Linked DNA regions of Xenopus tropicalis. The protein of the gene in region 3 interacts with the protein of the main gene of each other region in a pairwise test. Links are inferred from orthologs where the notes say so. Each region holds a gene or a part of one and is shown on either strand. Other genes may lie near its edges.

Region 1 (3,656 bases), on a different chromosome or scaffold from region 3:
TCCTTTAATGCCATGTCCCATAGTTCAGTGTTATCTGGAAGGAAGATTTATGTAGATGCTGGATCCCTTCTCTCTCTAGCCGCTGATAATAAGCCCTCTTGCACCTTCCAGGTCTCCATTCATTCCGTCTGGCTGGGGAATAACATCACCCCGCTGAGGCAAGAAGAGCTTGATGAAGACGAGGAAGATGAGAATGAAAACCCTACTCCTTCCTCACCACCCATGTCTCCAATAAACTCCAGGTCTTCTTTCAAAAACACTTCAAAGCCTTTCCTTATCTTTTAAAGGGGTAGTTCAGCTTTAAATTAACTTTTAGGGGCACATTTACTAATCCACGAATCCGAATCACGAATGGGAAAAAATCATATTGGAAACGAAAATTTTGGAAGATCGCAAATATCACGAAAATGCTTACGAAAAAATCGTATTAGTCACGATAATATTGTATTGGCGATCCGAAAATCACGAAATTTTTGTACCGAACAATTGTAAACAGCGGTAAACCTTTCCGATTTTTTCATACAAACGGCCGAAAAAGTCGTGCGCCGTACGAAAAAGTAGTGCGCCGTACGAAAAAGTCGTGCGCCGTACGAAAAAGTCGTGCGCCGTACGAAAAAGTCGTGCGCCGTACGAAAAAGGCGTGCGGACGCCCGAAAAAAATCGGCAAAAATACGCTCGGATCGTTCGCATGAACGCTCGAGCGTTCGTGCTTTCGTAAATGTGCCCCATAGAGTGATGCAGACATTGATATTCTAAGACAATTTGCAATTGGTCATTATTTTTTATTTGTTGTGGTTTTCCAGTTATTTAGAGTTTTCTTTAGCCGCTCTCCAGTTTATTTTTTGCTGGGAATATAAATAGAGGAGGGCCTATATTGAAGGATAAGTAATTAAAAGTAACAATAAAACTGTAGCCTCTCGGAGCAATAGTTTTTGGCTGCTGGGGTCACCGACCCCCCATTCAGAGTCAGAGGAGAAAGGCAAATAAATACTATAAATAATGAAGACCAGTTTCAAAGTTGCTAGGAATAGGACATTCTATAACATATTAAAAGTTAACTTAAAGTTGAACCACCCCTTTAAAGAGTGTTTCCATTCATGGATTCTGTATTTTTGATACTAGATATACGAATCTGCTTTATTTTTGTCAGTTGGGAAAGAAGCAAAGTATCAGTTTGGTTCCGCTTGCATTGCAGGAAACACCGGGCCGGTGTAGACATACACTCTTGCTCCCAGTTCCTGTTAGAGCTGTACAGCCAGTGGATCCTTCCCACCAACACAGGGAAAAAGACTCCAGCCATTCTGATCAGTGAGGTGGTGAGATCGGTGAGTATTTGCCATTGCACATGAATACAAAGTATGCTCTATGGCAGCACCGGTCAATGCACTCTCATATCTACTCTCAGTGCTGTGAGAGGTTTAAACATAGCTATAGTCTCTTTTTCCTTATTGTATGAAGCCTGGCATTCATCTTGCTATGTTTGCTTGCCTTCAGCTCCTGACGGTGTCTGATTTATTTACTGAGAGGAACCAGTTTGAGATGATGTACACAGCACTGACAGAGCTGCAGAAACAACACCCGTCGGAAGATGAAATTCTCAACCAGTATCTGGTGCCGGCCATCTGCAAAGCTGCCGCTGTGCTGGGAATGGTAAGGGAATCGCATAGCAACCCCTGAAAGCTTTGCTCTTACATGCACACAACATATTCGCTACTGTGTGAGTAATATCAGTACTGCGTATTCCGGAATGGAAATAGTCACATTCACTGTTATTTCCCCTCAGGACAAAGTTATTGCAGAGCCAGTGAGCCGGATAATAGAGACAACACTAAGAAGCACCCATATGCCGAGCCGTATCGGAGCACTACATGGGATACTGTACATCCTAGAGTGTGACCTGCTCGATGACACCGCAAAGCAGCTCATACCCGTCATCAGCGACTATCTGCTTTCCAACCTGAGAGGCATAGCACAGTAAGGGGTTGATTTACCAAAATTCGTTTTTTCCGGCCTTGAAAGTCATATAAACTCGACATGGTATAAATTCGAATTAAACTCAATCATTATTGTATTTATAAAATGTCACGATAATGCTTGAATCATTCATATGAAAATTTTGAGTTTACAATCCTGAATTTTTCAAGCCGCAACTATTGTTAAAACACGATTTTAGTAAAGGACATTCATTTCCATAAATAATCTTTTTATTTTTCCCAAACAGGAATTGCTCCAGTAGCCATTTTAGGAGCACTAGCACTCATTCTTGTGTTTCACTTAAAAGTGGGTAAAATAGAAAGCAGTGAGGGGGTTAACTTCCCCTTGAAAACGTGTGAAATAGAAAACAATGAGGGGTTGACTTCTCCTTGAAACTGGGTGAAATAGAAAAACTCAGTGGTGCTCAACAGATCAAACCTGCAAATTTATTTTGACAAAAAAGTGTTAACTAAACACTAAAACGAATTATGGGAAAAATTTCCGGAAAACTTTGAAATACCTAGAAGTGGAAAAAATCAACTTTTGCTCAAAATTGCTTAGTAAACGTTCCCCTAAGTGCCCGGGCCGTTGGGCTATGTGCCGCCTGGCCAGTGTGACATACTGTCTGTGCAGGACTAGTTCTGTTCATCTCCATTTATTTCTGCTTCACTTTTCACCAATAAGAACTAAACCCTGTGCCGAAGCCACTGCACATTTCCAAGCTTCATATGTGTTTTCCATTGCCCCATTTACTTGTCCTGAACTCCTGGTGTCAGCATTTGGCCCAAGCACCAAACAAACCTGCCTTTGCCCTGCAGTCTAGTAAGGAAGTGCTGGATTTAGTTTCTGTGTCAAAAAGGTGGGGGAAACTAAATCTTTGAGATGCCAGTCACTATGTGATAAGCACCTTGAAGGTTCATGATTTGCTTGATTCATTTCATAGTAGGGTAACCTGTGGCAACCAATCAGCATTTTGGTTTGATCATTCTTCTGCAAGGTGAATAATGAAAGCACCCATCTGACTGGTTGCTTTACTTTACTGCTACGGTGGAAATTCAGCCAATGTGTATTTATTGCTTTATGTCTATATAATACAGTGTGTGTTGTTATTTGTACAGCTGTGTGAATCTGCATAACCAGCAGCACGTCCTCGTTATGTGCGCCACGGCATTCTACTTAATTGAGAACTATCCCCTGGATGTAGGACCAGAGTTCACGTCAGGAATCATACAGGTGGGCTTGAGGCGATCGTATGCAATACAGGGACCCAGGCTGAACACTACAGGGGGCTTTGTGCAATTGTAAGGCGTATGCAAAGGGACAAAACCCACGAGTCCTTTATTACACCTGATGTTATTGTTCTTACTGATGTTAAAGGGCTGGTTCACCTTTAGGTTAATTTTTAGTTTGTTATAGAATATCCTATTCCTAGCAACTTTGTAATTGGTCTTCGTTATTTTGTTTTGAATTATTTTTCTTCTCCTTCTGATTCTTTCCATCTTCAAATTGGACTCACTGACCCCAGCAGCCAAAAAATAAAACTATTGCTCTGTAAGGTTACAATTTTATAGTTATTCTTACTTTTTTGTACCTTAACTTCCTGTTTAATATTCATATTACAGTCTCTCATTCAAACCACTGCCTGGTTGCTAGGATAGAACCCTAGCAACCATATAGGTGCC
Region 2 (3,656 bases), about 50 Mb from region 3:
ATTGTGTGTTTATATATGTTTTGTTGTTTTTTGCACTTACTATTTTTTTTTTTTTTTTTGTCATTGTTTTGTTCATTTATAGTAAGTTACAGTGGGGCCAATGTTGTGTATCAGTGCCAGTGTTATAGTGCCAGGGCCTGAATATCTGCCATCAGTACCCACTGCTTCTCATGGCATATAATGTGCTGGTTTTGTAACTACGGACTGTGTCTCACTGTATATAATGGGGAGTCAGTACCCACTGCCTTTCTTGCTATAAAACTAACATAAACACATCTAAAGGGGTGGTTCACTTTTAAGTTAACCTTTAGTATGTTATAAAATGGCCTATTCCTAGCAACTTTGCAATTGGTCTTCCTAATTAATTTTTTTGAATAATTTGCCTTTCTCTTCTGCCTCTATACAGATTTCAAATGGGGGCCAAAAAATATTGCTCTGCGAGGCTACAATTTTATTATTATTATAATTTTGTATTACTTATTTTTCCAAGTAGGCCCCTTAACTATTCATATTCCCATCTCTTGTTTAAATCACTACCTGGTTGCTAGGGTAAATAAGACCCTAGCAACCAGATAGCTGCTGAAATACCAAATGGAGAGCTGCTGAACAAAAAGCTAAATAACTGAAAAACCATTAAAAATAAAAGTGAATTCGAATGCGAACTACCCCTTTAAGCTAACTGATCCCAAACACAAATGTTTGCAGATCCCCTAACAGAAGTGCGCGTATGAATACTTTTACTACTAATACTAAACATTTTAGGGTAAAAAAAAAAAAGCACCCCCCACCCGCACTTTTGTACAGTATCCCTGGGAGTCAGTGGGAACGGCAAGAGGTAGTTGGGAGGTTAACTTTTTACGTCAGCAGTGAATCCACTAAGTGTCACATTAGCTATAGGTCAGTCTGTGTATGGGCCATATTTAGCCTCCCCTAGTATCATCCTGCAAAAAAAAAAAATATATATATATATTTATCTGTTGCAGGATGATGCTAGCTTACTTGCCCCCCCTTGGAAAATTTTCTGCGGACGCCCATGGATCCACACCTGACAGTGCCAACATCTACCATAGGAATAGAGCACTTTCCTTTAATCTGAATGGGGAGCACATGGTGGGACGGGGAGGGCATCAAAACTGGATAGCACATTTTGATCTGGCAATCACAGATAGAGTGTAATATAGTGTAATATAGTTATAGTTGCAAAATGTATACAATCTGATCATCTATATGTGTGGTACAATATCACAAACTGGGGAAAGGGTAGAAACTGGGTCTGCAATGAAGAACAAGGAATGCAAAATAATAAATATAGGAAAAGTAATATGCAAAACAGATATATGATAAGCGAATAATGAAGAAGGGAAGCGAATGAGCATAAAATGTACAATGTGTATTACCCTGTGACTCAGAGCAAACAGCTGTACCATGATCACTCTTCTCAATGACAACCAGCAATAGACATTATTAGTACATCACGTTCCCGGAGCAGCTACTATGTTCCACAGTAAATGTCATAGCTGGCATACTTCTAGCTGCAGCATAGTTACAACCCTATGGAAACCATGAAGGGACTTCCTGCATTGTGTCTCACACTGAGGCTAGTAAATGAACATGCATGGAAAACATTCAAAGAACACTGAAATACTTGTTCCACGTACATTAATGTTCATACTACAATGGTCACTAAAGTTACCCATTTTTGACAGCTCATTCAGGTGGGCTTACATAAGAAAAGGTGCATAAACACTATCTGAAAAATAAATATAATTTTTGTCTTACACGCACCTGAGTAAAAGGAATCCATAATAATCTGTCTGTGTTTGCTGGGATCAGCTACACACACCCCTTAGGCTCACAGTGTAACACAACCCCTCCTTAACCTTGTTCCATTGTGAAGTAATGGATTCTGGGAGAATTTGTGCACTGCCTACTATGTAAAGCAGAACAGTAGTCAGTTCAATTCCAGGTCTGTTAATCCCTTATCAGGCTTGTAACACTGTTTTAGGAGCCAAAGCCAGGAGTGCAGACAATATAAATAATCAGATACACTCTGCTATATTGTTAAAACCAATAAAAAAAACAAAAACTTTAATAAATGTACATATTTTTGTGTAAAAAATCCCATACAAACGAACAGAGTGGAAAATGTCACTGTGACAAGACCTAATTTTACTTTTTCATAAATATGCCCCTTAAGATGGCCATACACGCATGAATATATTTGTACAAAACTCGGATTGTGTGTGGGCCCCCTACAATTCATTTCCAGGAAGTCACTTTCATACGATTGGTGTCTGCCAACTATTTCATGTTCAAAATATCCTCCGATTTGTTATTTTTAGGGCTTTATCCTACAATTTCAGATTGAATGTTAGTTTTAGATTGTTGCATTTAAACCTGATTGATTTTCAAAAATTAGACTAAAATCTGAGTGGCAAAACATATTTGCCTGTGAAGTGTATATTTTACAACACAAAATGGCCTATGCTGACCTTGACTACCACAGTAGCTGTGTACATGAACACATAAACATGGATGTTATAATCAAGACATGATTTTTAAAAGGAAAACAATTCTTGAAGATAAAAAAAAAAAAACAACAACTCACTTTACAGGAGCCCTTGCATAAACCTGAAGCCAGTCAGGAATCTCTGCTGTGTGGTAAGGATTAGCTGGGACAAGCAAGGCCTGAGTTTCCACTTGCTGAGGCTGATAAGTTACTGGAGGAGGGAGAGGGGGCGGCTGGTCATATCGGGGAACACTGCAAGAAAACACAGAGTTTGAGATGGTACACACAGATGTACACACGTTTGAGATGTTACACACAGATGTACACACGTTTGAGATGTTACACACAGATTTAAACTTACATGGGATACCAAATATAAAATTCAAGTAAATGTGTACAAATTGCAATTTGGTTTCATTTTTTGCTCTTTAAAAATATTAGTTATTTTATTCTATGTATGACTGAGAGCAAGCAGTATTAGTACCCACTGCATTCTGCTCTCTCTTCCCTAAAGATTTTACAGCTGAGCTCATAGCCAGAGAGAGAATATAATTCTAGTATAGCTTTCTACTGGCTGTAAATTGGCTCCTGTCTGAAATGCTGCATGAACTCTTAAGCTGGATTTTAGACATCGTACGACGAACACTTGGATATCGATTGTACATTTTAATGCAACTATCTAAACTAACAGTCAGATTTAAATTGCAGGATTAACTTTTGAAAAGTAACAAATCAGATGCTGTTCTGGCCATTGACAGACAACAATCGTAGCAATTGCAATAGTATTGACAACAGCACATCAGGAAAAGAAAAAAATAATATTGAAAGAAGAATATTGTCATATAGGCCAATATATGCAAAAATATCATTATCCGACAAAAATTTTCTAACCTGTCCTATTGACTAAATGACTAATTAACATGATACAAAAATCATGGGGATGATTATCTGGAGTCCACACACGGTCCGGAAATCGTTTGAAACTTCATATGATCATATCGGTGCTTGTATGGGCATTTTACTCACACACCTCAGGTAAAGCTTAAACTAGTAAAGCAATGCAAATAGGCTTGCATCTCACTGTTAAGGGCTCTGGCACACGAGGCAACTCATAATGAAAGAAAACTTTCAAATATACATTGAAAAC
Region 3 (3,656 bases):
ATGATTTTCAGAAGCAGAAAAGCAATATAAATTAGGAGAAATAAAAGAGTGCCTGGTTCTTGTGGCCTGAACCAATAAGCTGGGGGGGGTATATTTATTTTTTTGCCCAGACCGTGACATATAGAGGTGACAGCAGGCAGTCGGGAAGCGCTATAATTATATATCAGACAGGGAAATTGGCAGCAGGGGGCCCATCTGCAGATCAGGGTCCCGGGGTTTATTGGGGTCCTTGTAACCCCCAGGAGAGTAGAAACGCACACACTGGATATGGGGGTGCCCCGGGGGGTGCCAGGATCGTGGGTACCGGTGATGGAGTCTCTATCGCTGGGAAAACCATCTCTGTAGGATCCGGCTGAGCACAGTCTGTGAGTCGGACAGATCCGGAGGGGAGCGAGGATCCGAGGGCCTGCGTACGTGATCCCCTGAGGGGGCAGAGGGATTGCGACTCATGAGCCGAGCTATTACTTTCCCACAATGGTGCTCACTGCCTGCATTTGGTACTTACCAACGTTTGGCCCCTGGGGGCCCTCGCGTGTCTCGCTGCTGAGGATCTCGTCCCCTCTCTGCACAGTCACCGTGGTGCTCGTGTTCCCCTGGCTGTCTCGCACAGTGCGTCTCTCTTCTATCGTCTGTCACGGGGGGCAGAGGAGAAACATGGGGCACATAAACAATCTGGGGTACGCGCAGGGGTCCTATAGCCACACCCCTTGGCATACACACAAACACTTGATTGGTGCCTTCCCTCAGCGCCAACTTACCCCGTCGGGTCTCACCAACTTAGACACAGAAACACTTTGGAAAAAGGAAGAGGCTCTCGGCTCCGACGGTCTCAGAATCGTGTCCAAACCCCGAGAGGAGACTTCCGAGTCCAGATCTACACAGGGGGGGGGGGCAATACCGGGCATTAGGGCAGGATTTAGGGGACGGGATGGAGGAAGAGCAAAGGGCAGGAAAAGAGACTCAACTCACCCAGTGATCTCCTACATTCTCCCCTGCCCCCCAGTACTGCATGATGCACCCCCAAACATGGACTCACCTCGGTCTTGCTTGGCGCCACCTTGTGGGATTTCAACCTCCCCACCATCCTGCCGGCACAAACGGACACAGTCACAAACAGAATAACAGCCCAACGCAGCGCCACCTAGTGACACCAAGTGGAGCCTGATCGCTATACTTCTAGAACAGTGCTGTCCAACTTCTGTGGTACCGAGGGCTGGAATTTTTCCAACCTACGTGGTGGAGGGCCAATAATGGAAGCCAGTTTTGACCACTCCCCTTTTTGAAACCGCACCCATGTTATCACATGACCATAACCATATTAATGTTTGTAGTACAGCAAAAACCTTCCATACTCTGCCTGCCCTACCCTGTCTGTGTGTGCCATACTCTGCCTGCCCTACCCTGCCTGTGTGTGCGCCATACTCTGCCTGCCCTACCCTGCCTGTGTGTGCGCCATACTCTGCCCTGCCCTACCCCTGCCTGTGTGTGCGCCATACTCTGCCTGCCCTACCCTGCCTGTGTGTGCGCCATACTCTGCCTGCCCTACCCTGCCTGTGTGTGCGCCATACTCTGCCTGCCCTACCCTGCCTGTGGTGTGCGCCATACTCTGCCTGCCCTACCCTGCCTGTGTGTGCGCCATACTCTGCCTGCCCTACCCTGCCTGTGTGTGCGCCATACTCTGCCTGCCCTACCCTGCCTGTGTGTGCGCCATACTCTGCCTGCCCTACCCTGCCTGTGTGTGCGCCATACTCTGCCTGCCCTACCCTGCCTGTGTGTGCGCCATACTCTGCCTGCCCTACCCTGCCTGTGTGTGCGCCATACTCTGCCTGCCCTACCCTGCCTGTGTGTGCGCCATACTCTGCCTGCCCTACCCTGCCTGTGTGTGCGCCATACTCTGCCCCTGCCTGTGCGCCATACTCTGCCTGTGTGTGCGCCATACTCTGCCTGTGTGTGCGCCATACTCTGCCTGTGTGTGCGCCATACTCTGCCTGTGTGTGCGCCATACTCTGCCTGTGTGTGCGCCATACTCTGCCTGTGTGTGCGCCATACTCTGCCTGTGTGTGCGCCATACTCTGCCTGTGTGTGCGCCATACTCTGCCTGTGTGTGCGCCATACTCTGCCTGTGTGTGCGCCATACTCTGCCTGTGTGTGCGCCATACTCTGCCTGTGTGTGCGCCATACTCTGCCTGTGTGTGCGCCATACTCTGCCTGTGTGTGCGCCATACTCTGCCTGTGTGTGCGCCATACTCTGCCTGTGTGTGCGCCATACTCTGCCTGTGTGTGCGCCATACTCTGCCTGTGTGCGCCATACTCTGCCTGTGTGCGCCATACTCTGCCTGTGTGCGCCATACTCTGCCTGCCCTACCCTGCCTGTGTGTGCCATACTCTGCCTTCCCTACCCTGCCTGTGTGTGCCATACTCTGCCTGCCCTATGCTGCCTGTGTGTCATACTCTGCCTGCCCTACCCTGCCTGTGTGTGCCATACTCTGCCTTCCCTACCCTGCCTGTGTGTGCCATACTCTGCCTGCCCTATGCTGCCTGTGTGTCATACTCTGCCTGCCCTACCCTGCCTGTGTGTGCCATACTCTGTCTGCCCTACCCTGCCTGTGTGTATGGCACAGTGTAGTGACACAATGCTGGCACTGCTCCTACAGTCTGCACAATAACTATATATTAAAAAAAAATTTAATTGCAGTACCACCTCAGTATATGTTCTTTTTGTAGTGTGCAGGGTTTATTTGTGGGTTTCTACTGCTCCTGAGGTGTGAACAGGGGAACAATGTGGGTGATTACAGCCTGAGCCTGAGGTGTGAACACTGCAGGGGGGAACAATGCAGAGATTAAAAGGTGGAACAACACAGGGGATTACATGTTTAAACAATGCAGAGGGATTACAGCCTGAATCTGAGGTGAGAACCATGCAGGGGGGGCAGTTAATCTCAGTACTGATACCATTTAAAGCTTATACAAGGGTAAACCATCAAAGCAGCCAGACAGGTGGGGGGCCACACAGAGGGGGGTCAGTTGGACAGCACTGTTCTAGAACATTCTAGTCATAAATGGGAAAATCAGAACCTACCCAGCTGTATCTGCCCCATGGTGTTGCCCTTGGAAGTCTGGGAGGGGCCTGGGTGCTGGGGCTTCTGGGGAGGTGCGAGTCTGGGGATTTCAGCATGAAGTCCCGGAGCGACTTTGCCCCAAAACCCTCTGGTCTCCGCAATGGGGGATCCGCTCCCGGCAGCTCTAACGGGAAAGAATAAAGGGGAAATAAGAACGTTACTCCTAGTTACCCAGCTGTGAGCAGATCTATAGGAATATAATAAAGGGGAAATAAGAACATGTTACTCCTAGTTACCCAGCTGTAAGCAGATCTATAGGAATATAATAAAGGGGAAATAAGAACGTTACTCCTAGTTACCCAGCTGTAAGCAGATCTATAGGAATATAATAAAGGGGAAATAAGAACATGTTACTCCTAGTTACCCAGCTGTGAGCAGATCTATAGGAATATAATAAAGGGGAAATAAGAACATGATGTTACTCCTAGTTATCCAGCTGTGAGCAGATCTATAGGAATATAATAAAGGGGAAATAAGAACATGTTACTCCTAGTTACCCAGCTGTGAGCAGATCTATAGGAATATAATAAAGGGGAA

What was found.
Region 1: the proteins of hax1 (region 3) and htt interact in binary tests that used the Homo sapiens proteins (3 or more experiments, as listed by UniProt). The link is inferred for Xenopus tropicalis from reciprocal best matches to the Homo sapiens genes HAX1 and HTT.
Region 2: the proteins of hax1 (region 3) and sav1 interact in binary tests that used the Homo sapiens proteins (3 or more experiments, as listed by UniProt). The link is inferred for Xenopus tropicalis from reciprocal best matches to the Homo sapiens genes HAX1 and SAV1.

Annotation. Positions count from the first base shown.
Region 1 is NC_030677.2:22,808,814-22,812,469, forward strand, and holds part of htt (huntingtin), read left to right. Parts: intron 1-111; coding exon 112-242; intron 243-1,195; coding exon 1,196-1,325; intron 1,326-1,494; coding exon 1,495-1,650; intron 1,651-1,783; coding exon 1,784-1,974; intron 1,975-3,092; coding exon 3,093-3,207; intron 3,208-3,656.
Region 2 is NC_030684.2:93,071,945-93,075,600, forward strand, and holds part of sav1 (protein salvador homolog 1), read right to left. Parts: intron 2,762-3,656; coding exon 2,609-2,761; intron 1-2,608. UniProt on the Homo sapiens protein: Regulator of STK3/MST2 and STK4/MST1 in the Hippo signaling pathway which plays a pivotal role in organ size control and tumor suppression by restricting proliferation and promoting apoptosis.
Region 3 is NC_030684.2:143,228,422-143,232,077, forward strand, and holds part of hax1 (HCLS1-associated protein X-1), read right to left. Parts: intron 3,244-3,656; coding exon 3,080-3,243; intron 1,086-3,079; coding exon 1,037-1,085; intron 875-1,036; coding exon 759-874; intron 630-758; coding exon 506-629; intron 423-505; coding exon 319-422; 3' UTR 1-318. UniProt on the Homo sapiens protein: Recruits the Arp2/3 complex to the cell cortex and regulates reorganization of the cortical actin cytoskeleton via its interaction with KCNC3 and the Arp2/3 complex. Slows down the rate of inactivation of KCNC3 channels. Promotes GNA13-mediated cell migration.